5 linked regions of the Macaca fascicularis genome follow. The protein of the gene in region 4 purifies or fractionates together with the protein of the main gene of each other region. This does not show direct contact. Links are inferred from orthologs where the notes say so. Each region holds a gene or a part of one and is shown on either strand. Other genes may lie near its edges.

Evidence for each region.
Region 1: the proteins of TMEM192 (region 4) and ACP2 purify together in Homo sapiens (affinity purification with mass spectrometry; 3 studies listed by BioGRID and IntAct, with this or other methods). This does not show direct contact. The link is inferred for Macaca fascicularis from reciprocal best matches to the Homo sapiens genes TMEM192 and ACP2.
Region 2: the proteins of TMEM192 (region 4) and LAMP2 purify together in Homo sapiens (affinity purification with western blotting; 5 studies listed by BioGRID and IntAct, with this or other methods). This does not show direct contact. The link is inferred for Macaca fascicularis from reciprocal best matches to the Homo sapiens genes TMEM192 and LAMP2.
Region 3: the proteins of TMEM192 (region 4) and LAMP1 purify together in Homo sapiens (affinity purification with mass spectrometry; 3 studies listed by BioGRID and IntAct, with this or other methods). This does not show direct contact. The link is inferred for Macaca fascicularis from reciprocal best matches to the Homo sapiens genes TMEM192 and LAMP1.
Region 5: the proteins of TMEM192 (region 4) and CTSD purify together in Homo sapiens (affinity purification with western blotting; 3 studies listed by BioGRID, with this or other methods). This does not show direct contact. The link is inferred for Macaca fascicularis from reciprocal best matches to the Homo sapiens genes TMEM192 and CTSD.

What each region holds. Positions count from the first base shown.
Region 1 is NC_088388.1:18,594,314-18,600,205, forward strand, and holds the start of ACP2 (lysosomal acid phosphatase), read left to right. Parts: upstream 1-2,512; 5' UTR 2,513-2,526; coding exon 2,527-2,640; intron 2,641-3,179; coding exon 3,180-3,275; intron 3,276-3,586; coding exon 3,587-3,673; intron 3,674-5,572; coding exon 5,573-5,725; intron 5,726-5,834; coding exon 5,835-5,892.
Region 2 is NC_088395.1:126,742,845-126,748,667, reverse strand, and holds the start of LAMP2 (lysosome-associated membrane glycoprotein 2), read left to right. Parts: upstream 1-2,371; 5' UTR 2,372-2,499; coding exon 2,500-2,563; intron 2,564-5,823. UniProt on the Homo sapiens protein: Lysosomal membrane glycoprotein which plays an important role in lysosome biogenesis, lysosomal pH regulation and autophagy.
Region 3 is NC_088391.1:103,727,616-103,732,837, forward strand, and holds part of LAMP1 (lysosome-associated membrane glycoprotein 1), read left to right. Parts: intron 1-759; coding exon 760-881; intron 882-4,144; coding exon 4,145-4,364; intron 4,365-5,203; coding exon 5,204-5,222. UniProt on the Homo sapiens protein: Lysosomal membrane glycoprotein which plays an important role in lysosome biogenesis, lysosomal pH regulation, autophagy and cholesterol homeostasis.
Region 4 is NC_088379.1:170,008,763-170,014,663, reverse strand, and holds the start of TMEM192 (transmembrane protein 192), read left to right. Parts: upstream 1-2,086; 5' UTR 2,087-2,090; coding exon 2,091-2,270; intron 2,271-2,734; coding exon 2,735-2,860; intron 2,861-5,901.
Region 5 is NC_088388.1:1,693,431-1,698,652, reverse strand, and holds part of CTSD (cathepsin D), read left to right. Parts: intron 1-404; coding exon 405-564; intron 565-2,241; coding exon 2,242-2,365; intron 2,366-2,792; coding exon 2,793-2,911; intron 2,912-4,331; coding exon 4,332-4,564; intron 4,565-5,222. UniProt on the Homo sapiens protein: Acid protease active in intracellular protein breakdown. Plays a role in APP processing following cleavage and activation by ADAM30 which leads to APP degradation.

The sequences.
Region 1 (5,892 bases), on a different chromosome or scaffold from region 4:
ATTTATTTTTTTTGAGACAGAGTCTCGCTCTGTTGCCCAGGCTGGAGTGAAGTGGCACAATCTTGGCTCACTGCAGCCTCTGCCTCCTGGGTTCAAGCAATTCTCCTGTCTCAGCCTCCCGGGTAGCTGGGATTACAGGCGTGCTCCACCACGTCCGGCTAATTTTTGTATTTTTAGTAGAGATGGGGTTTCACCATGGTGGCCAGGCTGGTCTCGAACTCCTGACCTCAGGTGATCTGCCTGCCTTGTCCTCCTAAAGTACTGAGATTACAGGTGCGAGCCGTGCCCGGCCTAGGCCCTGTTTAGTCCCACTAATGTGAAAAGGTTTCCTTTGACAGATACCTCTTTATTGAAAGTATTTCGAGATCACCAATTACAGTTTAGTAATGCAGTTTGAGTAGCCTGCAAGAAGCAGCCCATTATAGACTATTTAACTGAGAACCACAAAACTAGACTTTTAATCCATTCTCCTCAACTGTGAGTTTGGGCCAGTCACTTCCTCTCTTTAGATTTGTTTCCTAAACTGTGAAGTAAGACGACTAGGTTAAATCAGGTATTCAGAAATGCTGATTTATGAAACTTCTAGTAAATGGTCTTTGTGAACCATTTGGGATTATATGCAAAATTCCATGTGCGTGTTTACATGTGTGAACATTTTTCTGGAGGAGAGGTGCAAAATTTTCATGTCAGCTTGTGATTAAACAAGGTTAAGAACTATTTGGCTACCCAGGCTTCAGCTCTTACTCTATTTGCTTCTCAGCCTCCTCCACAACAACTTTGGAAGCAAAGTTTAAATCCTGAAGTATATATAAATAATTGAATCTGGAGTCCTAGGGCAAAATAAGGACAGCTAATTCTGATCTTTCTTTTCTTTTCTTTTTGTTTTTTTGAGACACAGTCTTGCTCTGCCGTCCAGACTGGAATGCAGTCGCACCATGATGGCTCACTTTAGCCTCAACCTCCCAGGCTCAAGGTGATCCTCCCACCTCAGCCTCCTGAGGACCTAGGACCACAGGTGTGTGCCACCACACCCAGCTAATTTTTAAACTTTTTTTTTTTTCTGTAGCGATGAGCTCTTCGTAAGCTGCTCAGGCTGGTCTCGAACTCCTGGGCTCAAGCAATCTTCCCACCCTAGCCTCCCAAAGTGCTGGGATTACAAACGTGAGCAACCACACCAAGCCTAATCAGGTTTTTTTTTTGTTGAGACAGAGTCTTGCTTTGTCGCACAGGCTGGAGTGCAGTGGTGTTATCTCGGCTCACTGCAACCTCCACCTTCCGAGTTCAAGCGATTCTCCTGCCTCAGCCTCCTGAGTAGCTGGGATTACAGGAGCACGCCACCACACCCAGCTATTTTTAAATTATTATTATTTTTAGTAGAGATGGGTTTTCGCCACGTTGGCCAGGCTGGTTTCGAACTCCTGACCTCAGGTGATCTGCCTGCCTCGGCCTCTCAAAGTGCTGGGATTACAGGGGAACCACGGTGCCCAGCCCAAGCCTGATCAGTTTTGTTTCCCAAAGATCTGAGGAGATTTGCTTCCAGTAGGCAGATCTGAATCAAAACATCCCCAGGACCTACGATCTGACCTTCTGCAACCGTCATATTAGTCACAAAGTCCTGAGGCCAAACTAGCTGCACCTGAATCCTAATGGTCAATGCCAAGAGGGCCACTGATTCTGTGTAAACCGCATGTACTCCCACTTTATGATATGCGCCTGCCCCTTACCTCAAAATACCTCCCCACTGGTCTGAAATTCCTCCCCTAGGGATTCAGTGCTTTGGGTTTGGAAAGTCTGAACATCCTGTGCAACACAACTCCTTTGGGAAGAGGCATGACGTCTTGACTCTAATTAACTAAAACTTGGAAGTGGAGGGGAGGGAGGTCAGGGAAAGGACTGGAAGGGAAAGTGAAAGGGCTACTGAAGCTTCGTGCGGGGCAGGAACGGTAGGCTAGACTGGAGGCAACCTCAAGGACACAGGAAATCCAAAGGGTTGTTTATATACTATGCCCTGCACCCCAAGCAAAACGTCTCCTAGAAAACAGGGCCAGGGCTCAATCCACCCCAAAGGCAGGGGCATGGAGAGAAGCGACCTCTGCTTTTCCGTCCCTCGCCTCAACTCTGCACCCGCTCTAGCTATGGGGTCAAGCCCGGAAGCACCCCGGCTGGAGGGGACGCTCGCTTTCCAGGACATGGTCCCGCCCACTGCAAGCGCCACCTTGGTAAGGGATTTCTCCTAGCAGAGGCAAACGCGAACTTAATGCCTTCTTGATCAAGATGAGGTCTTCGAGACCTGTCTGCCTCGCCACGTCGGGCTACATGCGTACGCTCCCCCGCCACAGCCAGGTCGCGACCCTCCTGCACGCATTCCCACCGAGATTGCGCCTTCTCCCCCAACCCCAGCTCGTCCCTAAGTAAGATGGCGGCGAGCGCACTTCCGGCGTGTGTCCTTACGAGTGCGTCCGGGCGGCTGCTTGCAGGTGCCACCCAGCGGGTTCCAGCTTCTTTGCTGCATAGATTACAACGGTGATGGCGGGCAAGCGGTCCGGCTGGAGCCGTGCGGCTCTCCTCCAGCTCCTTCTCGGCGCGAACCTGATGGTGATGCCGCCCACCCAGGCCCGGAGTCTGCGCTTCGTTACCTTGGTAATGAGAAATGGGGTCACCAAAGAGTTCCCTGAAGCTAGAAGGGCAAAGGCCAGCTGGTGGGGGTCGGGGATCTTGGGAAGGAACAGCTGGTTTAGGAGAGGACGACTGGCCTGTGTAGTTGGGAGACTGGGTTCAGGATTGACGTGGAGCCCTGGGTTATGGGGGTCAGGGTGACCGAATAGGTCGGGGTGAGTCTGCCCTGAGACAGGGAAGTAGTTGAATGGTTAAGACTCATCCCTAAAGAAGCCTTTGGTTGTCTTTTTTCCCCAGTTGTCCCCACCACATATGTTGCTTTCACTTCTCTTTTCCCTTACCACCTGTACCTTGGCTTTGCCTGTGGTCTCCAGTGGCATTGCTTAGCCAAGTTAGAGTGTCTGGAATCTGGAAGAAGTGACTGACTCCTAACTGGGGTCTTTTGCAGCGAGTAGGCTTCCCAAAGGGAATGAGACTTCCTTCCCTAACATGGGGCAAAAGGTAGGCTCTGGGTCCCTATCGAGATGCTTCTGACCTATAGACAAACCATTTTCTTCCCTCAGCTGTACCGCCATGGAGACCGTTCACCAGTGAAGACATATCCCAAGGACCCCTACCAGGAAGAAGAATGGCCCCAGGGGTTTGGTCAATTAACCAAGGTGGGTCAGAAGCCAGCCTTTCCTCAGGATGAGCTGTAGAATGAGTGATGTCTAGAGCAGGCTACAGAACTTGGGGCCTTACTAAACTGCCTTTTCCCATATGGGTGCTGACTTTGACCAGATTTCATAACCTTAACCTCTGTGCCCATGATATTGCCGTGCATGACTGGCCACTTAATGAAAGACTTCTGGGATCAGATTAATTGACTCCAGCAAAGGGTAAACCTGGAAAGCAACAGGGCCTAAACCCCATGGGGCTTGTGAGCCACTCCTTCCCTCTAGACCCTCTTAACTTTTGGGTTTGCCCACAGGAGGGGATGCTACAGCACTGGGAGCTGGGCCAGGCCCTGCGGCAGCGCTATCATGGCTTCCTAAACACCTCTTATCACCGGCAAGAGGTAAGCTTGGGAGCTCCAGAGGCAAGGGGAATGGGGTATGCTGCCCTCATCTTTTGCTCTCAGGGAGCCTAAGGCTGAGGCTGGGCACTCTGGCCTCCTTCTTGTATTTTTGGTTACAACTACAGGAAAAGGCATCTGAGAGCTGTCTGGAACAAAACCCTAGGAGCTGAGTTGCCCCTGCTTGGCTAGGAAGAGGCAAACCTGATTAAGCATCCAAATTCAGCCTTACGGGCGGGCCTGGCAAAGTGGTTTCTGACTCTTTGAAATCACAGGCTTTCCATCCAAGACATTTATTGAGTACCCATTAAAGGCCAAGAACTATGCTAGCACTTCGCATTCAGTGGTGCACCATACAGATATGATCTCTGTCTTCATGGAGCTTAGAATGTTGTGGGGGTATCTGATGATAAACCAGACAGGGCCAAGATGAAAGACAGCGGGGAAGATGCACGTAGATAGGGCTTGTCTTTCCTTGATCAAGATGAGGTCTTCGAGCCCTGTCTGCCACGCCAGGTCACGCTACGTTCCTAGGGCACATCAGGGAGGACTGGCGAGTGTGCCTGCTCCTTGAGTCCTTGCCCTACCCCAGGGATGGGGGAAGCTATTCCTCTGGTTACCACTGTCAGCCTCAGCTGTGTCAAGAGTCCCTAGATATTGTTAATTGTTCCCTTAAGGCCCAGCTCTGTCCTGAGCTTGTCCTTCCCCAGTTTCCTCCTCCCTTTTCATGAGCCACTATCTCTGAATAAGCTCTTCAAAATATTGTTTATTTATTTATTTATTTATTTTGAGATGGAGTCTTGCTGTGTTGCCCAGGCTGGAGTGCAGTGACATGATCTTGGCTCACTGCAACCTCCGCCTCCTGGGTTCAAGCGATTCTCCTGTCTCAGCCTCCCGAGTAGCTGGGATTATAGGTGTATGCCACCATGCCTAGCTAATTTTTGTATTTTTAGTAGAGACAGGATTTAACCATGTTGGCCAGGCTAGTCTCGAACTCCTGACCTCAGCTGATCTGCCCGCCTCGGCCTCCTAAAGTGCTGGGATTACAGGCATGAGCCACTGTGCCTGGCCTAAAATATATACGTATATTTTAAAGGGGTCTCACTCTGTCACCCAAACTGTAGCACAATGACTTAATCATAGCTCACTGCAGCCTCAAACTCCTAGGCTCAAGTGATCCTCCTGCCTCAGCCTCCCAAGTAGCTGGTGCCCGCCACACCTGGGTCATTTTTTATAGAGACAGGGTCTCACTATGTTGCCCAGGCTGGTCTCGAGCTCCTGGCCTGAAGCGATCCTCCTGCATTGGCCTCCCAAAGTGCTGGGTTTATAGGCGTGAGACACCAGGCCCAGACCTTTATCTTATTTTTTCTCCCTGGTCTCTAAGGGTCATCACTGGAGCCAGTTTCTGCCCCAAGGACCCTGATCTAGACAAGGAGAGAGGTGTTGTTATGAAACCAGACAGACCAGAGAGCCTTACTGATTGACTCAGCACTTTTGACTGGGAGAAAGGGGTATTCAATTAAGGCCATTCCCACAGGAGTTCTTCACAGAGTGGTGACAACCCCCAGTGGAGTGTTTGGGGGATGGGGAAGGCCAGAGGCCAGAGGGGGGTGAGGGCCAGATGCATGGTAGGTTTACAGTTTGCTGGGTGATCCTCAAGAACAGGTTCTCCCCCGGGGCTCCACTTTGGGGTGACCAGGACTTCCCACCACACACACACACACACACACACACGCGGCTCCACTTCAGGGTGACCACAACTTCCCCACCACACACGCACGTGCGCAGGTGCGCACACACACACGACTCCAGGGTGACCAAAACTTCCCCACCACACGTGCGCGCACGCGCGCGCGCGCACACACACACACACACACGTGACTTGTGTTGCTATCTCTGCAGGTTTATGTGCGAAGCACAGACTTTGACCGGACTCTCATGAGTGCTGAGGCCAACCTGGCTGGACTCTTCCCTCCCAACGGGATGCAGCGCTTCAACCCGAACATCTCGTGGCAGCCTATCCCTGTGCACACTGTGCCCATCACTGAGGACAGGGTGAGAGTGGCCAGCCCTTCCCTGGGATGGTGAGGGGACAGCTGTGGCCGTGTGCCTGCTGATGCCAGGCTCCTTTTCCCACTGCCTGTTTCCCTGCTTCGCTCTACAGCTGCTGAAGTTCCCGTTGGGCCCATGTCCCCGTTATGAGCAGCTGCAGAATGAGACCC
Region 2 (5,823 bases), on a different chromosome or scaffold from region 4:
CAAATGTTCTCACTTTCAGGAATTAATTACATTAAAGCAAACAATAGTGGGACAGATCAGTGGTTCTTAATGTTTGAATTAGGGTGGTTTATTAACCTTAATATTGGTTAGGGCAGGGAGTCACAGGTCCCATTGGAGAACTAGTGAAAACTACAAACTTCCCCACAAAAATACACATACATAAATGTTGCATGTAATTTCTGAGGATTCACTGACACCCCTCCCATCCTGCCTAAACTCATACATAGACTCCAGATTAAAATCTCCTGGACTAGATGATTTTGAAGCTCTCTTTTAGTGTTTCTCAAAGTGTGGTCCATGGACCACAGAATCAGAATCACTTGGGGTGTTTGTTAAAGAAGAGATTCATAAGACTGCCACAGACCTACTGTTTCAGAATCTCTGGGGAATGAGGTACAGGAATCCGTATGTTAAAACAAACAAACAAACAAAAAAAAACCAGATGGTTCTTTTGGAAACTAACACTTGAGAATCAGTGCTTTATTCCAACTCGACATTTTTAAATGCTTTCATCTGTTGAATATTTTAGGTTTTGTCTGTTCATCTATCAAGTATAGCAAACAGTATGCTTAGTATTAACTCATTACAGAATATTTGTGTGTATGTACATAGGAAAAACACCTGGAAGTGTAGATGTGGGTGTGTGTATATATATGTGTAAATATATATAATAGTGTTAATAGTGGGAATAGAGATCTCTATTTTTCCCCCTTTATTCTTCTGTTTTATTTCTCTCATTTTTTTTTTTCTTCCTGTGTTTTAAAAAATATGCTTCTTGTTTCTGAGCTCAATTCCCCCATCTGAGAACAGGGTGCTGTAACTAGGTGAACTTCAAGATCATGTCTTGTTCCAATGGTCCGTGACTCCATACTATCCTCTAGGTTCCCTCGTCCATCTCACAGCATGAACTGCATAGGTAACAACAGTGTTCGGAGAATAAGCATGTATTATTTTTGTATGTATTACGTTTGAGATGCCTAGCAACCGTTTTTGTGCCCGCAAAATTTTTCTCTTCTTTGTCAAGGAGCCAAAACGGAAATAGTCTACTATCTACGGCCCTCAAAAGTTCCTCCTCTCTCCTTAGCCTTAGAAAATACCGTCCGCCATAGGCATGGGCAAAGACTTCATGACTAAAACACCAAGAGCAATTGCAACAAAAGTCAAAATTGACAAATGGGATCGAATTAAAAGAGCTTCTGCGCATCAAAAGAAACTAGCATTAGAGTGAACAGGCAACCTGCAGAATGGGAGAAAATTTTTGCAATCTACCCATCTAACAAAGGTCTAATATCCAGAATCTACAAGGAACTTAAACAAATTTACAAGAAAAAACAACCCCATCAAAAAAGTGGGTAAAGGATATGAACAGACACTTCCCAAAAAAGACATTTATGTGGCCAACAACATGAAAAAAAGCTCATCATCACTGGTCATTAGAGAAATGCAAATCAAAACCACAATGAGATACCATTTCACGCCAGTCAGAATGGCGATTATTAAAAAGTCAGGAAACAATAGATGCTGGCGAGGCTGAGGAAAAATAGGAATGCTTTTACGCTGTTGGTGGGAATGTAAATTAGTTCAGCTGTTGTGGAAGACAGTGGGGCGATTCCTCAAAAATCTAGAACCAGAAATACCGTTTGACGTGTGCACACGTATGTTTATTGCAGCACTATTTACAACAGCAAAGACTTGGAACCAACCCAAATGCCCATCAGTGATAGACTGGATAAAGAAAACGTGGCACATATATACCATGGAATACTATGCTGCCATAAAAAAAAAAAATGAGATCGTGTCCTTTGCAGGGACATGGATGAAGCTGGAAGCCATCATCCTCAGCAAACTAACACAGGAACAGAAAACCAAACACTGCATGTTCTTACTTATAAGTGGGAGTTGAACAATGAGAACACATGGACACAGGGAGGGCAACAACACACACGGGGGCATGTCAGGGGGTGGGGGCCAAGGGGAGGGAGAGCATTAGGAGAAATACCTAATGCATGTGGGGCTTAAAACCTAGATGAAGGGTTGATAGGTGCAGCAAACCACCATGGCACATGTATACCTATGTAACAAAGCTGCACATTCTGCACATGTATCCCAGAACTTAAAGTAAAATTTAAAAAAAAAAAAAAAAAGACAGAAAAAGAAAAAGAAAATGCCGTCCGCGCATATCTCTTAGGCGCATAGGAAGGGTTGTGAACCAAAAAGCCAGGGCGTGGTTGCCCCGCCCACCGGCCTCTACATCACCACCCCTCTCGCCGCTTTCAAGCGCGGAGATTGGCTGTAAGCAAGAAAGAGCCCCGCCCCTAGTCTTATGACTCGCGCTGAAGCGCCGATTCCTGGCTTTTGCAAGGCTGTGGTCGGTGGTCACCCGTGCTCTTGACCCAGGTCCAGCGAGCCTTTTCCCTGGTGTTGCAGCTGTTGTTGTACCACCGCCGTCGCTGCCGCCGTCGCCTGCTCTGCGGGGTCATGGTGTGCTTCCGCCTCTTCCCGGTTCCGGGCTCAGGGCTAGTTCTGGTCTGCCTCGTCCTGGGTGAGTTGTCGGGCCCTCCCGATTAGTCTGTCCGCCTGGGCCCGGGGCGCCAGTTCAAAGCTACAACCTGAAAGACTGGTCCGAGGGGGCGGGGGGTGAGAGGCTCAGCAACTGACACTGGGCGGCGGCGATTGGCCCGAGGAGGCGAGCGGTGACCTAGAGAAGGCCTGACAGAGGGATGGCGGGGAAGAAGGGCCCAGGAGAGTAAGAAGGGGCCGGTAACGGGGGGGTGGACGCCGAGGGAGTAGGCTGGGAGGAGTGAAGCGTGGAGAGGGTCAGGGTGGAAAGAGTAACTTGGGGAAAACACTGAGGAGTGAGCGTAGGAGGGTGGTACATGCAGATTTTGGGCGCCAGAGACAATTAGGAGAGTCCTGGTTTGCTGAGATCAGGGAAGAGTTTTGAAGATGGTGGAAAAACTATGGGGTGATATAGGAAATTAAGAGAGGAGACCATGCCTGCCTGGAGTAGCTTGGGGGAAGAGTGTGGGTGGGGGACAGATGGAACAGATAGGACAGTAGAGCCTGAGGGGCAGGGGCAGGGACAGGGTTGGGCATTTTGAAGGTTGGAATTTGAGGCTGTGAAGAAGGGGTGATTCAAGAGATTAGGAGTGATGCTGGGTTTGAGTTTGGTAGTCATAGTTTTAAGGGCGAAGGAGCCTAAGGTAGCTGGGGCAATTTCCAGGAAAGAAAACTTGGACCCAGCCTCTGGAGACTAAGGGGTTCGGTGGGAACTTTGATGGGGAGTGCACATCTGACTTGGAGGTATTAAGGATGTCGATTTTCTCCCAGTTTTGCTACTTCCTCCCAGCCAGACGCTGACAAAAAAATCCCCAGACGTTTCAGTTAGGAGGGCCTCCCAGATGAGAGGTTTTGATAGACTGAGTTTGGTAGACTACCTCTTTGCCTTCAGAGTCTCTTGTTTTCTTTCTTCCCCATCACACTAGCCTATTACCTCATTTTTTGGGGGGGTGCAGGGAGCAGGTAGACAACTTGCTAAGGATTGGGTTGTTACCAGGGCCTCATTAGAATGGCTGGATGGGGCCGGGCGCGGTGGCTCACGTCTGTAATCCCAGCACTTTAGGAGGCCGAGGCGGGTGGCCTCACCTGAGGTCAGGAATTCGAGACCGGCCTGGCCAACATGGTGAAACCCCGTCTCTACTAAAAATACAAAAATTAGCCAGGCGTCGTGGCACATGCCTGTACTCCCAGCTACTTGGGAGGCTGAGGCAGGAGAATCGCTTGAACCCAGGAGGCGGAGGTTGCAGTGAGCCGAGATCGTGCCATTACACTCCAGCCTGGGTGACAAGAGTGAAACTGTGTCTCTAAATAAATAAATAAATAAATGGCTGGGTGAATGTTCGCTGATTGTGTTGTGCCCTAATAGGCAGTGGGTCCCTAACAGCTTTAATGCCTGAAGATGAACTTTGACTAGTGTCTCTTCCTGACTTGATTCATGCTGTGCTTTTTGCTACCCACCTGCTCTTGCTATTTGTGACTTAATAAAATAACATAAAGAACAGACCCAGATGGAAGTGGGGAAGAAATAGACTTATTAGGGGTCTGAGAAAGCAGTGAGAGGTATACATTTTGTAATTCACATTTCAGTAGAATAAAATCAACACCCTGGAATAGTCATTCTCCACCAGGGGACATTTGGCAACTTTTGGAGACATTTTTGGTTGTCACAACTGGGGGATTGCTTTTAGCATCTAGTGGGTAGAGGCCAAGGATGCTGCTAAACATCCTAACTAAGCACAGGGCAGCCCCTCACAACAAACAATTATCTTCCTGAAAATGTCATTGATAAACCCTGCTCAAAAACCATAGTATTGGAAGGGTTCTTGATTATCTAATTCAGTGACTCTCAAGGACCTTTTCATGGGTCTATGAAATCAAACCTTTGGAATAATGTTAAGAAGGTTTTTGTCCTTTTCGGCTGGGCACAGTGGCTCACGCCTGCAATCCCAGCACGCTGGGAGGCTGAGGCGGGTGGATCACCTGAGATCAGGAGTTCAAGACCAGTCTGACCAACGTGGTGAAACCCAGTCTCTACTAAAAATACAAAAATTAGCCGAGTGTCGTGGCACATGTCTGTAATCCCAGCTACCTGGGAGGCCAAGGCAGGAAAATCGCTTGAACCCGGGAGGTGGAGGTTGTGGCGAGCCAAAATTGCGCCACTGCACTCCAGCCTGGGCAACAAGAGCGAAACTCCATCTCAAAAAAAAAGAAAGTATTTGTTCTTTGTCCTTTTCACGCTCATCCTCTCACCAGTGTACAGCGGAGTTTACCAGTGGCTACATAACATGTGATGACCTCACCACTCTGATGTTCTTATATTTTATTCATTTCTCAGTTTTAATTTCTAATACTCTAAATACCAATACATATGACTCACATAAACCTCTGTGAAGTCCTCAGTGGATAAGAAAGTAAAGGGGTCCTGACACCAAAACGTTTGGTAGTCCAACTGTTCATAGGGTGCAGGAAACTCTTCTGTAGCACTTCTGAAAGGTGGCCTTGAGGCAGGCTTTGCTTGAATACTTAATTCGAAGCCTTAACTGTCCCTTGGAGCACTTACTGAGGGCCAACTGACCCTAAGAAAGGATTGTTTACAATGGAAAGTACCTTATCAGTGACTAGAACACATCTGACCAAGGCATCTGTTAATCAGTAGTTCCCTGCCAGTTGAATCTGTGCACAAATACAACACTGCTATTGTTTGGGGAAAGTGAAAAAAATAATAGTTGTCCTACTTGTTGGCTTTCATGTCATTAAATTTTTTTTGTTTTTTAATGAAAGCTTTTTTGTTTTGTTTTTACAAAAGCAGTGCTTACTCATTGCAGAAAATAAACATGCAAAAAGAAGCACATAAAAGAACCCATCAGCTCATCTGCTAGTTTGCCATTTATTGATCGGGACTAACTAGATTCATCCTCTTGGAAAATTTCCAAGATTGATCCCCTCCACCTCCAAGTTCAGAGCAGGATTTGGAAAAGTAAATATTAATAATGTACCTAGATCGGATTTTTAAGAGGTTCCAGGATGAAATAGAAACCATTCTTCTATACAGCTGCATTTTCTGATGGCTACTGGTTCAGTGTGGAGCCCAAAGTCCTCCCATATGGCTTTTTCTCTCAAGAATTTAGCAGTTGCTTGGTGGGTTTTGCGCAAGTTACTTTTCTGTATCAAAATGGATACCAAGAATAGGTTTTTGAAAACTCAGTAAATATTTGTAAAGTACCTACTATGTAGCTAGATCAA
Region 3 (5,222 bases), on a different chromosome or scaffold from region 4:
TAAAACTGACCAGATGTTAAGTAGCAGGTCAGGACCACAGTGAAAGATCCTGCAGACTCTCCCTTGGATTTCTGCAGATGGGCGAGTCGTGCCTTCAAGGCACCACGTCTTACAGAGATCCTCTGAAAAAGGCCGAGCAGCGTATGCCTAGGATGACGCAGAAATTGACATGTGCCCTCTTGATAAGTGTTCTGAAATAAAGCGCTAAATAGCAAAAGACTAGGCTGGCAAACTCAATCAGATGGGCTTAGAGATGACAGTTCCAGAACAGTATCCGCAAGGGACAGGGCACCAGGTGAACTGGCCGTGTAATCCATGTGTCTGGTTCTTCATTGGATTTAAGAAACACTGTGGAGGCTGGGTGCAGTGACTCACGCCTATAATCCCAGCACTTTGGGTGGATCATCTGAGGTCAGGAGTTCAAGACCAGCCTGACCAGCATGGCAAAACCCTGTCACTACTAAAAACAGAAATTAGCTGGGTTTGGTGGCATGTGCCTGCGGTCCCAGCTACTTGGGAGGCTGAGGCAGGAGAATTGCTTGAACCTAGGAGGTGGGGGTTGCAGTGAGCCGAGGTTGCACCACTGCACTTCAGCCTGGTGACAGTGAGATTCCGTCTCAAAAAAAAAAAAGAGAAACAGTGGAATCTTGTGGAATCTTGTAACAAAACCCATCACTGCTACAGCTGTGGAAACTGGGGATACTCAGTCGTGTTTTCTGGAGAGTTTTTGATGGTCTCTGTCTTCCCTGGAATTGACAGGCCTCACGCATTGTGCATCAGCAGCAATGTTTATGGTGAAAAATGGCAACGGGACCGCTTGCATAATGGCCAACTTCTCTGCTGCCTTCTCAGTGAACTACGACACCAAGAGTGGCCCTAAGGTAGGAAACACCAGGGCACTTCGTGCTTCCCTTGTGTGTGTGGAAAGATGATTTTTAACATTTCAACCAAGTCTTTGAAAAATGGCCCCATATAAACATGGTACTTTTCCTATCTGCGTATTTCCTTCTGGCGTTGTCAGTAACCTGTGTTGTCATGTGCCATAGCCACAGGCACGGTAACAAACTTCTATATGTGCTGCACCTCACCGTTTATCATGAACTTTTTTTTTTTTGAGACGGAGTCTCACTCTGTCGCCTATGCTGGAGTGCAGTGGCGCGATCTCCGCTCACTGCAAACTCTGCCTGCCGGGTTCATGCCATTCTCCTGCCTCAGCCTCCCGAGTAGCTGGGACTACAGGCACTCGCCACTACGCCCGGCTAATTTTTTGTATTTTTAGTAGAGTTGTGGTTTCACCATGTTAGCCAGGATGGTCTCGATCACCTGACCTCGTGATCCGCCCGCCTCAGCCTCCCAATGAACTGGGATTACAGGCATGAGTCACTGCGTCTGGCCTGTCATGAACATTTTTCTAGTTTTCTTTTTTTTCTTTTTTTGAGACGGAATCTCGCTTTGTCGCCCAGGCTGGAGTACAGTGGCATGATCTGAGCTCACCACAACCTTGGCCGTCTCCTGGGTTCAAGCAGTTCTCCTGCTTAGCCTCCTGAGTAGCTGGAACTGCAGGTGCCCACCACTATGCCTGGCTGATTTTTGTATTTTTGGTAGAGATGGGGTTTCACCGTGTTGGCCAGGATGGTCTCAAACTCCTGACCTCAAGTGATCTGCCTGCCTCGGCCTCCCAAAGTGTTGGAATTACAGGGGTGAGCCACCGCTCCCAGCTCTAGTTTTCTTCATGATTGTCTTTTATGATCATAATGTAATACTTTATTATGTTAGTTCACCATAATTTGTTAACACACTCCCCTATCAGTAATTAAGTCTTGAATCTTTTTCATGCTCTGTGAATGTGACTTTGATTTATTTATTTTTTGAGACAGAGTCTCACTCTGTTGCCCAGGTTGGAGTGCAGTGGCGCAGTCTCGGTTCACTGCAAGCTCCGCCTCCCGCTTTCACGCCATTCTCCTGCCTCAGCCTCCTGAGTAGCTGGGACTACAGGCGCCTGCCACCTTGCCCGGCCAATTTTTTGTATTTTTAGTAGAGATGGGGTTTCACCGTGTTAGCCAGGATGGTCTCGATCTCCTGACCTTGTGATCCGCCCGCCTCAGCCTCCCAAAGTGCTGGGATTACAGGCGTGAGCCACCGCACCCGGCCTGATTTACTTTAGAGAAATTATTATACTCCAAGAAATGTATATAAATGGTTGTTTGACATGCAGTTCTACAAAGACTGTACTAGTTTGATTAAAATGTTCCTTAGTAGTTTTGTTGAAATGGCTTTGTGTTTATTTGGGATGATTAAAGCCTTTTGTAATAACAGAATATTTTAAAAATCCAAGACAGCGAGATCTTATCTCTTTAAAAAAAAAAAAAAAAAGCCAGACATGGTGGAGCGTGCCTGTGATCCCAGCTACTTGGGAGGCTGAGGTGGGAGCATTGATTGAGCCTGTGAGGTCGAGGCTGCAGTGAGCTATGATCTTGCCACTGCACTCCAGCCTGGGTGACAGAGCAAGACCATCTCAAAAAAAAAAAAAAAAAGTCCAGTCTCAAATTTGACAAGTATGTCAAAGCCTTTTTTCTTTTTTCTGAGACAGAGTCAAACTCTGTCCCCCAGGCGGCTGGAGTACAGTGCCAAGATCTCGGCTTACTGTATCCTCCGCCTCCCAGGTTTGACTCAGTCTCGTGCCTCAGCCTCCTCAGTAGCTGGGACTACAGGTGCGTGCCACCATGGCCAGCTAATTATTTGTATTTTTAGTAGAGATGGGTTTCACTATGTTGGCCAGGCTGGTCTTAAACTCCTGGCCTCAAGTGATCCACCCACCTTGGCCTCCCACAGTGCTGGGATTACAGGCGGGCCCTACCGTACCTGGCCTCCAAGCACTTTTTTTTTTTTTTTTTTTTTGAGAGTTTTGCTCTTGTCACCCAGGCTGGAGTGCAGTGGTGCGGTCTTGGCTCACAGCAACCTCTGCCTCCTGGGTTCAAGCAATTCTCCTGCCTCAGCCTTCCGAGTAGCTGGGTTTACAGGCATGTGCCCAGCTAATTTTTGTATTTTTAGTAGAGATAGGGTTTCTCCACATTGGTCAGGCTGGTCTCGAACTCCTGACCTCAGGTAATCTGCCCACCTCGGCCTCCCAAAGTGCTGGGATTACAGGCGTGCCCCAACGTACCTGGTCTCCAAGCACTTTTTATTTAATTTCTACATCACTTTTTTAATGTTTGGTTTTGGTGGTTGGATTTTTAAAATATTTTGTTGTAAATTATGTTTCACAAATGAGGTCACCTTATGCTGTTATGCATGTCTTTATCACCTCTGTAGTTTCGTGGTGTTTTTTTGGCCCACATTAGTATACTGCTTCACTGTAGTTCATTTGACCTATCTGGTTTATTTTGATGAACATTAGGTGGTTTTCCAGTTGCTTGTTTTGCTTATAATAGTAAATTTAAACATTTCTGCTATGAACACTTCCTTTGTTTAAGGAAACATTATTTAAATGAATATTTCTATAGCAAAAAAGTAGTGATAGCTTTTCTCAAATATATATCTCACCCTGAAACCGGTTTGAATTATTTCAATTTCAAGACGCTTTAAATTCTGTTATATTAACAGAAAATTTATGGGGTTGTTTTGTTCTGTTTAGAGACAGGGTCTTGCTGTGTTGCCCAGGCTGGAGTGCAGTGGTGCAATCGTAGTTCACTGCAGCCTCAAACCTAGGCTCAAGCGATTCTCCTGCCTCAGCCTCCTGAGTAGCTGGGACTACAGGCAGATGCCACCACAATTAGTTTATTTTGTTTTTGTAGAGATGGGGTCTTGCTATGTTGCCCAGGCTGGTCTTGAACTCTTGGGCTCAAGTAGTCCCCCCACCTCAGCCTCCCAGAGTGTTGGGATTACACGCGTGAGCCACCGTGCCCAGCTGCAAATTTTTGATTATAAGAATTATTAAGTCAACTGTCTCTTATACCGGAAATACTTTTCAGTCTGTTACTGACATGTAATACTAACCTTTCTTTGGTTTATATTAAAAATGAGTATCTCAGTAGTGATAGCTGGAAATGGAGTATAAGTTTATATCAGACTTACAGAAAATCTCTCTTTGAACTTTTAATAACCTGTATCCCAATTGGGTTATATTTAATTGTGTTTATTCTAGAACATGACCTTTGACCTGCCATCAGATGCCAAAGTAGTGCTCAACAGCAGCTCCTGTGGCAAAGAGAACACTTCTGACCCCAGCCTCGTGATCGCTTTTGGAAGAGGACAGACACTAACCCTCAATTTCACAAGAAATGCAACTCGTTACAGCGTCCAGCTCATGAGTTTTGTTTATAACTTGTCAGACACACACCTTTTCCCCAATGCAAGCTCCAAAGGTAAGAACCAAAGTGGGCCGATTATAAAGTGATAGAAAATTGGGTTGGAGGATTGTCTAAAGTTACTTTTACCTGAGAATTACAGGTTGGGTGTAGTGGCTCACACCTGTAATCCTAGTATTTTGGGAGGCTGAGGCAGACAGATCACTTGAGGTCAGGAGTTTGAGACCAGCCTGGCCAACATTGCAAAACACTGTCTCTACTAAAAATACTAAAATAAGCCAGGTGCGGTGGCAGGCACCTGTAATCCTAGCTACTCGGGAGGCTGAGGCAGGAGAATCGCTTGAACCCAGGAGGCAGAGGTTGCAGTGAGCCAAGATGGCGCCACTGCACTCCAGCCTGGGTGACCGAGTGAGACTTTCTCTAAAAAATTAAAAAACACGCAGCCAGGCATGGTAGCTCACGCCTGTAATCCCAGCACTTTGGGAGGCCGAGGCGGGCAGATCATGAGGTCAGGAGTTCGAGACCAGCCTGACTAACGTGGTGAAACCCCCTCTCTCCAAAAAGTTCAAAAATTAGCTGGGCGTGGTAGCGCGTGCCTGTAATCCCAGCTACTCAAGAGGCTGAAGCAAGAGAATCACCTGAACGCAGAAGGCAGAGGTTGCAGTGAGCCGAGATCACGCCACTGCACTCCAGCCTGGGCGACAGGGCAAGACTCCATCTCAAAAAAAATAAAAAACACATAAAATAAACTAAGTACGACAAGTGATTTTTCTTTTTAAATCTAGAAATCAAGACTGTGGAATCTGTAACTGACGTCAGGGCTAAAATTAAAAACACATAAACTAAGTACTAAAAGTGGTTTGCAATTGTGATTTTTTTTTTCTTTTTAAATCTAGAAATCAAGACTGTGGAATC
Region 4 (5,901 bases):
CCTGGTTTATACCAGGTAATCACAGATTATTCCTACCCTAAAGTGTAAGCAAGCTCTTTAGCCTATCTTTTCCCTTTAGACTTTATTTTGAAAAATTTCAAACTGCAGAGGAAAAAATTTGCTGGCCGGGAGCAAATTTTATTACTAAAAATACAAAAATTAGCCAGGTGTGGTGGTGGGTGCCTGTAATCCCAGCTACTTGAGAGGTTGAGGCAGGAGAATTGCTTGAACCCGGGAGATGGTGGCTGCAGTGAGCTAAGACCACGCCACTGCACTCCAGCCTGGGCCACAGAGCAAGACTCTGTCTCAAAAGAAAAAAAAAAAATTGCTGAACTACTTACATAACGTATTTTTAATATATTATTAAAACGGGTCTGGCATGGTGGCTCTTGCCTGTAATCCCAGCACTTTGGGAAGCTGAGGCAGGAGAATCAGTTGAGACCAGGAATTCAAGACCAGCCTATAGTTAACCCTGTCTTTACAAACAAAAAACAAACAAAAATGATTATGTATGTTAATAATGCCTTAATAAATCTCATTTAGAAAGGGCGCGGTGGCTCAAGCCTGTAATCCCAGCACTTTGGGAGGCCGAGATGGGCGGATCACGAGGTCAGGAGATCGAGACCATCCTGGCTAACTCGGTGAAACCCCGTCTCTACTAAGAAATACAAAAAATAGCCGGGCGAGGTGGCAGCGCCTGTAGTCCCAGCTACTCGGGAGGCTGAGGCCGGAGAATGGCGTGAACCCGGGAGGCGGAGCTTGCAGTGAGCTGAGATCCGGCCACTGCACTCCAGCCTGGGCTACAGAGCGAGACTCCGTCTCAAAAAAAAAAAAAAAAAAAAAAAAAGAAAGAAATGACTAACATTTGCTTAGTGCTTTGTAGAGACAACACTGTAGAAAGAGCATTACATGCATTATTTTATTTAATAGAAAATCTCTGGCCAGGCGCAGTGGCTCACGCCTGTAATCCCAGCACTTTGGGAGGCCGAGGTGGGCAGATCACTTGAGGTCAGGGGTTTGAGACCAGCCTGGCCAACATAGTGAAACCCTATCTTTACTAAAAATACAAAAATTAGGACCGGGCATGGTGGCTCTCGCCTGTAATCCCAGCACTTTGGGAGGCCGATGAGGGCGGATCTCGAGGTCAGGAGATTGAGGCCATCCTGGCTAACAAGGTGAAACCCCGTCTCTCCTGAAAATACAAAAAACTAGCTGGGCGTGGTGGTGCACACCTGTAGTCCCAGCTACTTGGGAGGCTGAGGCAGGGGAATCACTTGAACCCAGCAGGTGGAGGTTGCAGTGAGCCAAGATGGCGCCACTGCACTCCAGCCTGGCGCCAGAGCAAAACTCCATCTCCCCCGCCCCACCAAAAAAATGTATGAGTGCATACATTCTAACTGATATCAAAGTTCTCTCCGGGAGCTGGTAACAGAAAATTTATTTCCTTGTTTGCTTACATTTTTACAATCATGAACTTTTCAGAAAATGTCATTTTAGTTTTCTCTTTTTGAAATTCAATTTTAAAAGAAACAAGGGCCCAGTGGCTCACGCCTGTAATCTCAGTACTTTGAGAGGCTGAGGTGGGAGAACTGGCCAGGAGGCCAAGAGTTCGAGACTACAGTGAGCCACGGTCGTGCTAGGCCACTCCAGCGTGGGCGACAGAGCGAGACTCTGTCTTAATAAACAAACGCCGTAAACATTCCGAAGTGCTTTGTTTCCCATTGGAGAAATCTATAAATATGTCATGGAAATTGGAATCTTTATTCTCCTCCTGTCCCTCTGCTGGTGGAGGATTTTACCGCTGGTTCTACCTAGGCGTAGAGCTGTGTCTGCAAACAAAAAAACTAGGCAAGACCGAAAAAAATTAATGTTCTTAAAATATGCAAGTGGAGCCCGAAAATAGTTAAATTCTTGGACTAGGAAGGCATCCTTTAATGCCCAGGTCTCTGGGTAAGAGCGCACCGAGCCGCTGCGGCCAGAAGCCCCAGGGACCGAAGTGGTTCAGGCGGTAGCCAGCACCCACAGTCCAGGTCTTCTGGGCCGGCACGCCCCTCCCACCATCTCAGCCAATCGGAGCTAAGGGGGCGGGGATGGGCCAGCCGGAGGCGGGACGGACGCAGGAGGGGGTGTGTCTGGGGCGGGGCCTGGCAGGTCCCAGAAGGTGGCAATTTTCGCGGCCAGGGGCTTCTAGGTCCCGGTGGAGAGGCCGGGCTGGCCGGGGCTTCGGCCTCCGGCGTCGGGAAATGGCGGCGGGGGGCAGGATGGAGGACGTGAGTGCACGGAGGTGGCGGGCGGCTGGCCCCGGAATCCCCTTTTTCCTGTGCCGGGGCGCACGGGGCGGAGACTCAAAGAGGGAAGCCACCCTTGGCGAGTGCGGCCGCGGCGGGAGGGGGCGCCGCCTGTGCCGGGGAGGCCTGGGCGCGGGGCTATGGGAGGGCGCCGGCGCCCTTGGGATCCTCGACACGCTAACTCCGGGCTAATTTTCCTGGTGGAGGCTGGGGTGGGGTCCTGGGCGGTGGGCGCGCGGCTCTGGGGGTCCCAGGCTGGCGCCCAGCCCACGTGCGGGTTACGTCTTTGATCCCGGAACTGGCAGCTTCACGTGATGCGCGCCTGGCCTGACAGCCTTTCCTCCCCGCGAGTCTCTGGGAGCTGGGCCACTGGGTTCCGCTCGGACGCCCCAGGGGCGCAGGGGGCGAATCTCCCTTCCTGGTGGGGTCCCTTGCCTTGGCTCTAGAGGCTGTGGACTTGGAGTGACAGCGACGCTCGGGCCGGGCGCCAGCGTCCCGCAGACCTGTGGCTATCATCTCCTGGAAACCCATACGAGAGAAAAAGTGTCATGTGCTGTTTTGAATTTAGCATGGTAGGAATGCAGAGGTTTTTAAATCTTTGATAGATTCAAACCAGATTACCAAAAAAACCAGTGGCCTAGTTTACAGCGTGTATAGTACAGAATGGTAGCATAATTACAAAAATCTTATTTCTTTGCTTCAGTGTCGTAAGGTGTTTTTAGGGGAAACATGTATGTATGCCCAGAATTAACTGGAGTTTCCACTGGAAAGTAATAAAATTTTTCCTCTTGAGAAATGCAAAGTTGACAGTTATATTAAAGCACTAATTTGGGTTAATAAATTAGTAGGAATATTACTGTGATCCTATCACTGAATGAGCTGCATCAGGAAAAGGAAGAGAAACACGAAACAGTTCCAGCACTTCGGTAGCTTAGATTCTTGTGCAGTGAATCTTGATGAAATAAAGACCAAACAATTTCTAATGAAACTAAAATTTTCTGTTTTTTCCAGTTGAGAAAATGGAAAATTAACTGTAAGACCTGTAAGTAGATTTGAGACTCATATATATTTAAAGCAAAATTCATTGTTTCTGAGTTTTTAAGGCTGAGCTTCATGAGCTGACAATGTATGGAAAAAAACGAATACGTAAGAGGAAAATGAGAGACTCTTAGAAAAACACAGGCAGTAAGTGCTTCTTGGTTGATGCTAAGCTGCTCTAGGGTTCTTGGATCTGTAGCTTTTAGTTGTAGGATGCATACAGTACTAGAAATCTGCTTCCTCAAACACTGGAGACTGGGGGCGGTCTGGAAGACTCATGCCTGTAATCCCAGCACTTTGAGAGGCTGAGGCAGGCAGATTACCCGAAGTCAGGAGTTTGAGACCAGTCTGACCAACATGGCAAAACCCTGTCTCCACTAAAAATACAAAAATCAGCCAGGTGTGGTGGTGGGGGCCTGTAATCCCAGATACTGGGGAGGCAGGAGAATCGCTTGAACCCAGAAGGCAGAGATCAGAGATTGCAGTGAGCCAAGATCGCATCACTGCACTCCAGCCTGGGCGACAGAGTGAGACTCTGTCTCAAAAATAAAAATAAATAAAAATTAATTAGAGATTAATGTTTTGCCACCAACCACATATTGGAGTCACTTTAGATCTGAGTAAGTTGCCTGCTTTTGGTATTTCGTAGACATGATTTCTAGCCTTCAGGGAAAAGCTAAAAATTCTGGACCATGCCTTAGTTACAGATACTTAAATGAGTTGAGTCAAAGACTTTGTGTTAGTAAGGATTCATTGTTTGCAGGCAGTGAAACCAACTCTGACTAATTTAAGAAAAAGATTTATTTGAAAGGCTATAGGGCGAGTATATGCCAAGGCCTCTGAAAGGACCCAAACAAGGGCATCTCAAGGCACTGAAGTGACAGGAGTCCTTTTCAGGGTCTACCCTGGAATGAATCTGCCTAAACCATGATCTTTCTTCTTTTTTTGTATGGAGTTTCGCCCTTGTTGCCCAGGTTGGAGTGCAATGGTGCGATCTCGGCTCACTGCAACTTCCGCCTCCCGGGTTCAAGTGATTCTCCTGCCTCAGCCTCCCAAGTAGCTGGGATTACAGACATGCGCCACCATACCTGGCTAATTTTGTATTTTTAGTAGAGACGGGGTTTCTCCATTTTGGTCAGGCTGGTCTCGAACTCCCGGCCTCAGGTGATCCGCCTGCCTTGACCTCCCAAAGTGCTGAGATTACAGGCGTGAGCCACTGCACCTGACCTCATGATCTTTCTTTTACTGTTCATGGAGAGAGTTGGATTCACCCAACTGTTTTTCGTTCCATGACCACTCCTAGACCAGAGGAGGAGGAAGGGTATTGAAGGATGTTTCCACTAAGACTTAATGCAGAAGTAGACAGTGGGTCCTCAAAGGAAATAGAGTTACTGTCACAGAAGAGGGAAGAGGTACCATGTGGGCAAAAACAACGGATATATGTAGTTAATAATGGAAATGGAAAAAACATTTGACTTCAGGAGTCCTCTTCCCCTCAGCCTTCACTTGCAGATGGTAAGTTCATAGAATGACTGGGTGCTGTTTATATGGTTATGCTGCATATTTCCTATAGGATTCATTGGAAAGTAAATACTCCTAAGTGACATAGAGAAGAACCATAGTATAGTCCCCAACTCCTTCAGTGTAGTTAGGAAAAACAAAAGATACACACATGAAAAGGAAAACAATATAAGGCAGCGTAAGAAATATTCCAAATGAGTATTATGGGCAATATGTTTTATAGGAGTTTAAAGCAGAAGGAAAACACTTAACAGGGCCAGTTTTATAGAGAACATAAACTTGGTTAAGACCTTGAAAGATGCATAGAATTCTGAAAAAAGATAGGGGAGGATATTTGTAGGACTCTATAGAAAGCTCATTTAGGCGAGAGAAGAGGGTGCATGAAAGTAATATAGTAGGAAATAAAGTAGATTATTGTCTTATAGTGAAGGTTTCAATGTTAGCTTTGTTTAAATGTCCCAGGTCTGGCCAGGTGTGGTGGCTCACGCCTGTAATCCCAGCACTTTGGGAGGCTGAGGTGGGCGGATCACCTGAGGTCAGGAGTTTGAGACCAGTCTGGCCAACATGGCGAAACCCAGTACCTACTAAAAATACAAAAATTACCCGGGCATGGTGGCACGTGCCTGTAATCCCAACCTGTCGGGAGGCTGAGGCAGGAGAATCGCTTGAACCTGGGAGGCAGAGGTTGCAGTGAGCCAAGATCACACCATTGCACTCCAGCCTGGGCAACAAGAGTGAAATTCTGTCCCAAAAGTAAATAAATAAATAAAAATGTCCCAGGTCTGAAGCATACAAGGAAGTTGAGCAGTCTTTCATTCTCTCAACACACATATTGAACACTTTAGCACCTGCTATGTATCAAGTGTTAAAAGCACAAAGGACATAATATAAAAGAGTCTTTGCCCTTGTAAAGCACATTTTATTCTGACAATTTCAATGCCATGTGCTTAATACGGTAGGTTATAACACAGATGTAACAGAGTTCAGTAGGGACTTCCATTCCCAGCCAACATGGAGTAACTGGGAATAGATCTACCATTCTGCCTGAAACAAT
Region 5 (5,222 bases), on a different chromosome or scaffold from region 4:
GGTGCCCGCCAGCACCCTGAGCAGCCATGCTGGCCACCATCCTGGAGGAGACCAGAGCAGGTGCAGAGGGAGGACTGGAGGCCCTTGGGGGCTTTGGAGCCTCTAGAATGGCTGAGGAGAGGAGGGGTGGGCACACTGGCCCCCAGGTTGGGTGTGTGGGGCCAAGGTGGGTGGTGGGTGGCCACTTCCTAGGACTGTGGCCTGTGCAACCTCGGGGGGGCGATGGGTTGCCATTCACTGACGGAGGAGGTGGGCCAGCAGTTTCCAGGTGACAGGCAGGAGTTTGGTTTTGGCTATGGTGACTTCGAGATTCCCCAGGGGCCTCCAGATGGATGTGCAATGTTAGCGGCCTCGGCCGGCAGGCGGGAGGACCTCCCTGATATGCCCCAACCCCTGGTTGACAGGATCCCGCTGCACAAGTTCACGTCCATCCGCCGGACCATGTCGGAGATGGGGGGCCCTGTGGAGGACCTGATTGCCAAAGGCCCCATCTCGAAGTACTCCCAGGCGATGCCGGCCGTGACCGAGGGGCCCATTCCCGAGGTGCTGAAGAACTACATGGACGTGAGTATGGGGTCTTAGCCCTGCTGGGAGCGGAGCTGCTCTCCAGAGAGCTCCCTGGGACTGTGGGGACACTCCCGCCTCCTGTTCTCAGGGGCACAGTTTGAGTGACTCACTTGGCCAGGGTGACGTCCAGGCTCAGCCACACTCCTGTCTTCCCCATCCTGGACCTCCTGCCACTGGCCCCTGTGGTTGCAGGATCTCGGGCCTGGGAGGGTGATTGAGGGTGGCCTTGGGCCTCAGTGCCAGCTCGCCCGGGGGGCAGTCATTGGGTCTGCCTGGGTGTGGCCGGCTGCCCTGGAGCCTGTCTTTATTGCTGTCCTGCCAGGAGGCCTATGGTGACTCGTGGCCCCTCTCCAGCCCCTCCCCATCTTCTTCCTCTGGCAGCAGCCCCTCCTGTGCCCACGACTCCTTCAGGGGGAAGCAGGATCCAAAGGGGAGCACTCTGGAAGCCACCTAGCAAGCTGGGGCTTGGTCAGCCTTGTCCCAGCTCTATGGGGTCAGTTCGAGGCCAGGGCCTGCTGTCCAGCCTCGGGGCTCTGGCCCACTGTGGCGGGGGGTCCTTGCCCTCTGTCCTGCTTGGCCCGAGTCCTGGCTGTGACAGGAAGCCCAAGACTCATAGGCATGTGACTGGGCGGGTTGTGGGGAGGGGGCCTGGGGGGAACCGGGTGCCGTGTGCCTGGTCCCGACCGGCCAGTTCCTGATCGCCCTAGCGCGAGAGCACGCCGAGGCACACACATGCACACGCGCACATGGAGATTTGCTGAGTGTCCCCCCGCCAGTGGTCACTTCTGTGGGGCCATGAGTCAGCAGCTGCTGCTGCTCTGTGAAGCCAGGCGGTCGGAGAAACATCGGACTGGGCTGGTGCCAGGAATCTGGTGGCTGACAGTGGCCCAGGCTCTATTCCTGGGGGAAGCGGGCGCCCAGGCGACCCCAAACTCCAGGACCCTCTTACTCTCTGCCTCCTGAGATGCTCAGTGGGCGTGGGACCCCTTGTACTTGCCTGATCCCTGAGTCAGCACCCCCACCTGTCCCTGCTATCCTTGTGTACACATGGGAGAACTGAGGCCCTGGGCCATTAAGGAAGGGTTGCTGGGCAGGCAGTGACTAAGGCTTACCTTCTCCCCTTGACCAGCTGAACCCCTCTGCCTGGAAGCCCTCCAGGCTTGGGGTTCACCCTGGAGGGCAGGGCAGGCACTGAGACACCCAGAATCAGACCCTGATACGGTCCCAACCTGGGGAGGAAGTCACTTCCCTTCTCAGGCCCTGGACCCCAGGCCACCAGGGGAGTCTTCCAGGCAGGCCCTTCCTGTACCTGGGGCTCAGGCCGAGGGCCACATCTGTCCCCACCCTGGATTGACCTCCGGACTTGTCTTTTCCGTGGGGAAGTCCTCAGCCTCACCATGTGTCGAGCAGGGGTAGGTGGCAGAACCCAGAGGTCTGGAGACCCCAAGCACCTGTGGGCATTAGGACTGAGGGCTGGGGACCTGGCCCATCTTCCCTGCAGGCTGAGCCGGTTGGAGTAGGTGGCTGTTGGCAGCTGTGGGCCCCATGATGCTCGTCCCTCCAGCATGGGCCTTCAGGCTTCAGGGTTTGGCTCTGGGGACAGCCGGGCCTTCTGAGGCCCGGTGGGGAGAGAGGGCCCCCTCCCCATCCCTGACGGACCCTGTCCCCTGCCAGGCCCAGTACTACGGGGAGATCGGCATCGGGACGCCTCCCCAGTGCTTCACGGTCGTCTTCGACACGGGCTCCTCCAACCTGTGGGTCCCCTCCATCCACTGCAAACTGCTGGACATCGCTTGCTGTGAGTCACGTACCCCGGCCCCGTCTCCCAGGTCCTGCCCTTTTGGGATGTCGCCACAGGGCTGCCTCAGGAATCCTTGGGCAATGCACTTCTCCCACCTCTTGGCCCCATGAGCCAGGCCGGCCCTCCACCCTGCTCCAGGCACTGGCTTTCTGGGTGAACCACCAGCTGTGGTCTTGCTCTCAGCAGCGCTGGGGCTGGGGTGGCCGCGGAGGGAGCCAGCTGTGGCTGGGAGGGAGGCCCGGGGTCACAGCCCACAGTCCTGGGGCTCTGGCACGATGGTGGGCCTCGGATCCCCTCCAAATCCCACCCTGGGGAGGCAGCTTGGGGGGAGCGGGCTCCATGGTAGACTGCAGGGGGATGGGAGGGCCGTGGCCGTGGCGTGGGCTGCGGGATGACCGGCGGGCCCTCTTCTCGCCCGGGGCAGGGCTCCACCACAAATACAACAGCGACAAGTCCAGCACCTACGTGAAGAATGGCACCTCATTTGCCATCCACTACGGCTCGGGCAGCCTCTCCGGATACCTGAGCCAGGACACTGTGTCGGTGAGTCCCTCTGGGGCCTTTCCCGGGACTCGAGGGTGCCAGGGTGTGCGGTTCACCCACCGTGGGTATGTGGTTGAAAGGGAGGGCGCGGTGATCCCAGGCCGACCCCAGCCCTCAGGTGGCCGGGGCGGTCAGCAGGATGAGGAGGGGCCTGGGAATGGGCCTGGTCATGTGCAGGCTGGAGAGAGAGCCTCGAACCTGGGGGCTGCAGGGGCAGGGGTCCCCGGAGTCAGGCCACAGTGAGTGGGAGGGAGGACAAGGCAGATTGATTGGGCTTTTTTTGGCACATTGGGTTTGAGGTGCCAGCAGGTGTTGAGGGCTGGGCCTGGGGCTGCACAGGATCCTTGCAGCAGGCCAAGGGGTTGGGGAGGCTTGGGGTTGGGAGGATTGCCAGGAACCCGCTGTGGGGGCTGCTGGCAGAGAGTCACCTGCAGGAGCCTGGGAGGGTAAGGGAGGGGGAGCAGCAGTGGCTGTTGGGGGCCCTGCCTGCGCTCCACCATCCTCAGGGCCCTGTGCAGAGCTGCTCCCTGCCCAAGGAGAGGGCGAGCTGGCCCTTGTCACCCTGCCTGGGCCTCAGTGAATTCTCACCTCGGAGCTGTCTGCTGGGGGTGGGCCAGGCCGCAAGGGGTTCAGGAGTAGTGGGACGGTGACACAGCCCCCAGCTCCGGAGCAGGCCAGGAGGGCAGCAGAGCCCCCCTGCAGGCCAAGGGACCTGGGAAGAGGGCCCCTTCCTCCAGCTGGACCTGCTCCTAACAGTCCGTGCTGGGCTGGAGTCCAGGTCTGTACAGGGGCTCCTCAGAGCCCTCTCCTCTGGGCCCCGCTCAGCCTGAACGGGAAATTGCCCCGTCTGTCCTCTTCCGCCTCCTCCGCCCCGTGTCAGCCTCAAGCTGTCGTTCCCTTCCCACATCCTGCTCTGGCCTGTTCTCTTTCTGCAGCCTCATCCAGGGCTGGGGGAGGGGACAGTCAGAGAGGGAGACGGGGGCAGCACGGCTGTGAGTCTGGGTTGGGGTCGGCGGCTTCCCCGTCTCTCGGGCTCCTGGCCCGGGTTGTCTCTTGTTCCCAAGGCTGAGGGCAGGAGCAGGAGCAGGAGCAGGACCTGCTTGTTGGTGGTGGTGGGAACAAGAGGTCAGAGCAGGGAGTGGGGCAAGGGGTCTCCCCGTCTGTGCTCCTGCCTGGTTCCCATCTCCTTAAAACTAAGCCCCAAAGTCTCCCACGAAGAGGGCTCCACCTCACCCCGCGTCCCCATGCCCCGCTGTGTTCAGCTCACCGTTTCCAGCCCTTTCTGCTGGGCCCTCTGGGCCCCATCGTGTGTGAGATGAGGGGTATCCATTGAGCTGGGTTTTGTAGCGCAGCCTCATGCTCAGAGAGGGGTGTAGGGCTCAGCCTGTCTGCGACCCACTGACGCTGCCCTGGCCTGCAGGTGCCCTGCAAGTCAGCGTCATCAACCGCTGCCCTGGGCGGTGTCAAAGTGGAGAGGCAGGTCTTCGGGGAGGCCATCAAGCAGCCAGGCATCACCTTCATCGCAGCCAAGTTCGACGGCATCCTGGGCATGGCCTATCCCCGCATCTCCGTCAACAACGTGCTGCCCGTCTTCGACAACCTGATGCAGCAGAAGCTGGTGGACCAGAACATCTTCTCCTTCTACCTGAACAGGTGGGCGCGTGGGTTCCCTCTCCCCTCCTGCTCTCCTAGCTCAGCGTTGTTGGGAGGCAGGGCGGGGCTGGGCTGGGAGCCTCCCGGGCACCCCCACTCAGTGCCGCCCCCTCCCTGCTGCTGTGGCCAGAGCTCCTGACCTCTGACCTCAGGGTGTCCGGGAGGCAGGGGTTGGCCGCCCTTCTGCAGAGGAGTAAGCAGATCGCAGAGAAAGCTGTTTGGCCGGGGTCTCCCAGTGGGAGGAGCTCAGGCCAGGCTGTGGGTCCTGGGACCTTGGCAGCTGGGCCTCCTTCCTATGAGAACAGACCCAGTTCGGGGGTCATGGCAGTTCCTCTTGGTTCAGTTGGCCCGTTGGTCCCTGGACCTGGTGATGGGCATGTGTGGTCCTGGTCCCGGGTTGCTGATGGTGGAGAGGGGGCATGGTGCCCAGGGGCCTGGGAGTCCCTGGGGAGGTGACTTGGGTGGGTGTGGGTCCCCGGCACCACGCAGCGAGCAGCTCTGTGGGTGTCCCCAGCAGGTGCTGGCTGCCCTCTAGGAGGAGCATAGGGGGGCCCTTCCTTCTGGGAAAAGGGTTCTCCCCCAGGGTCCCCACCTGCTGCCACTGCTTCAGCATGGGTGAGCCATGGTCAGGCCACCTTTGGAAGGGGGCCTCGGCCTT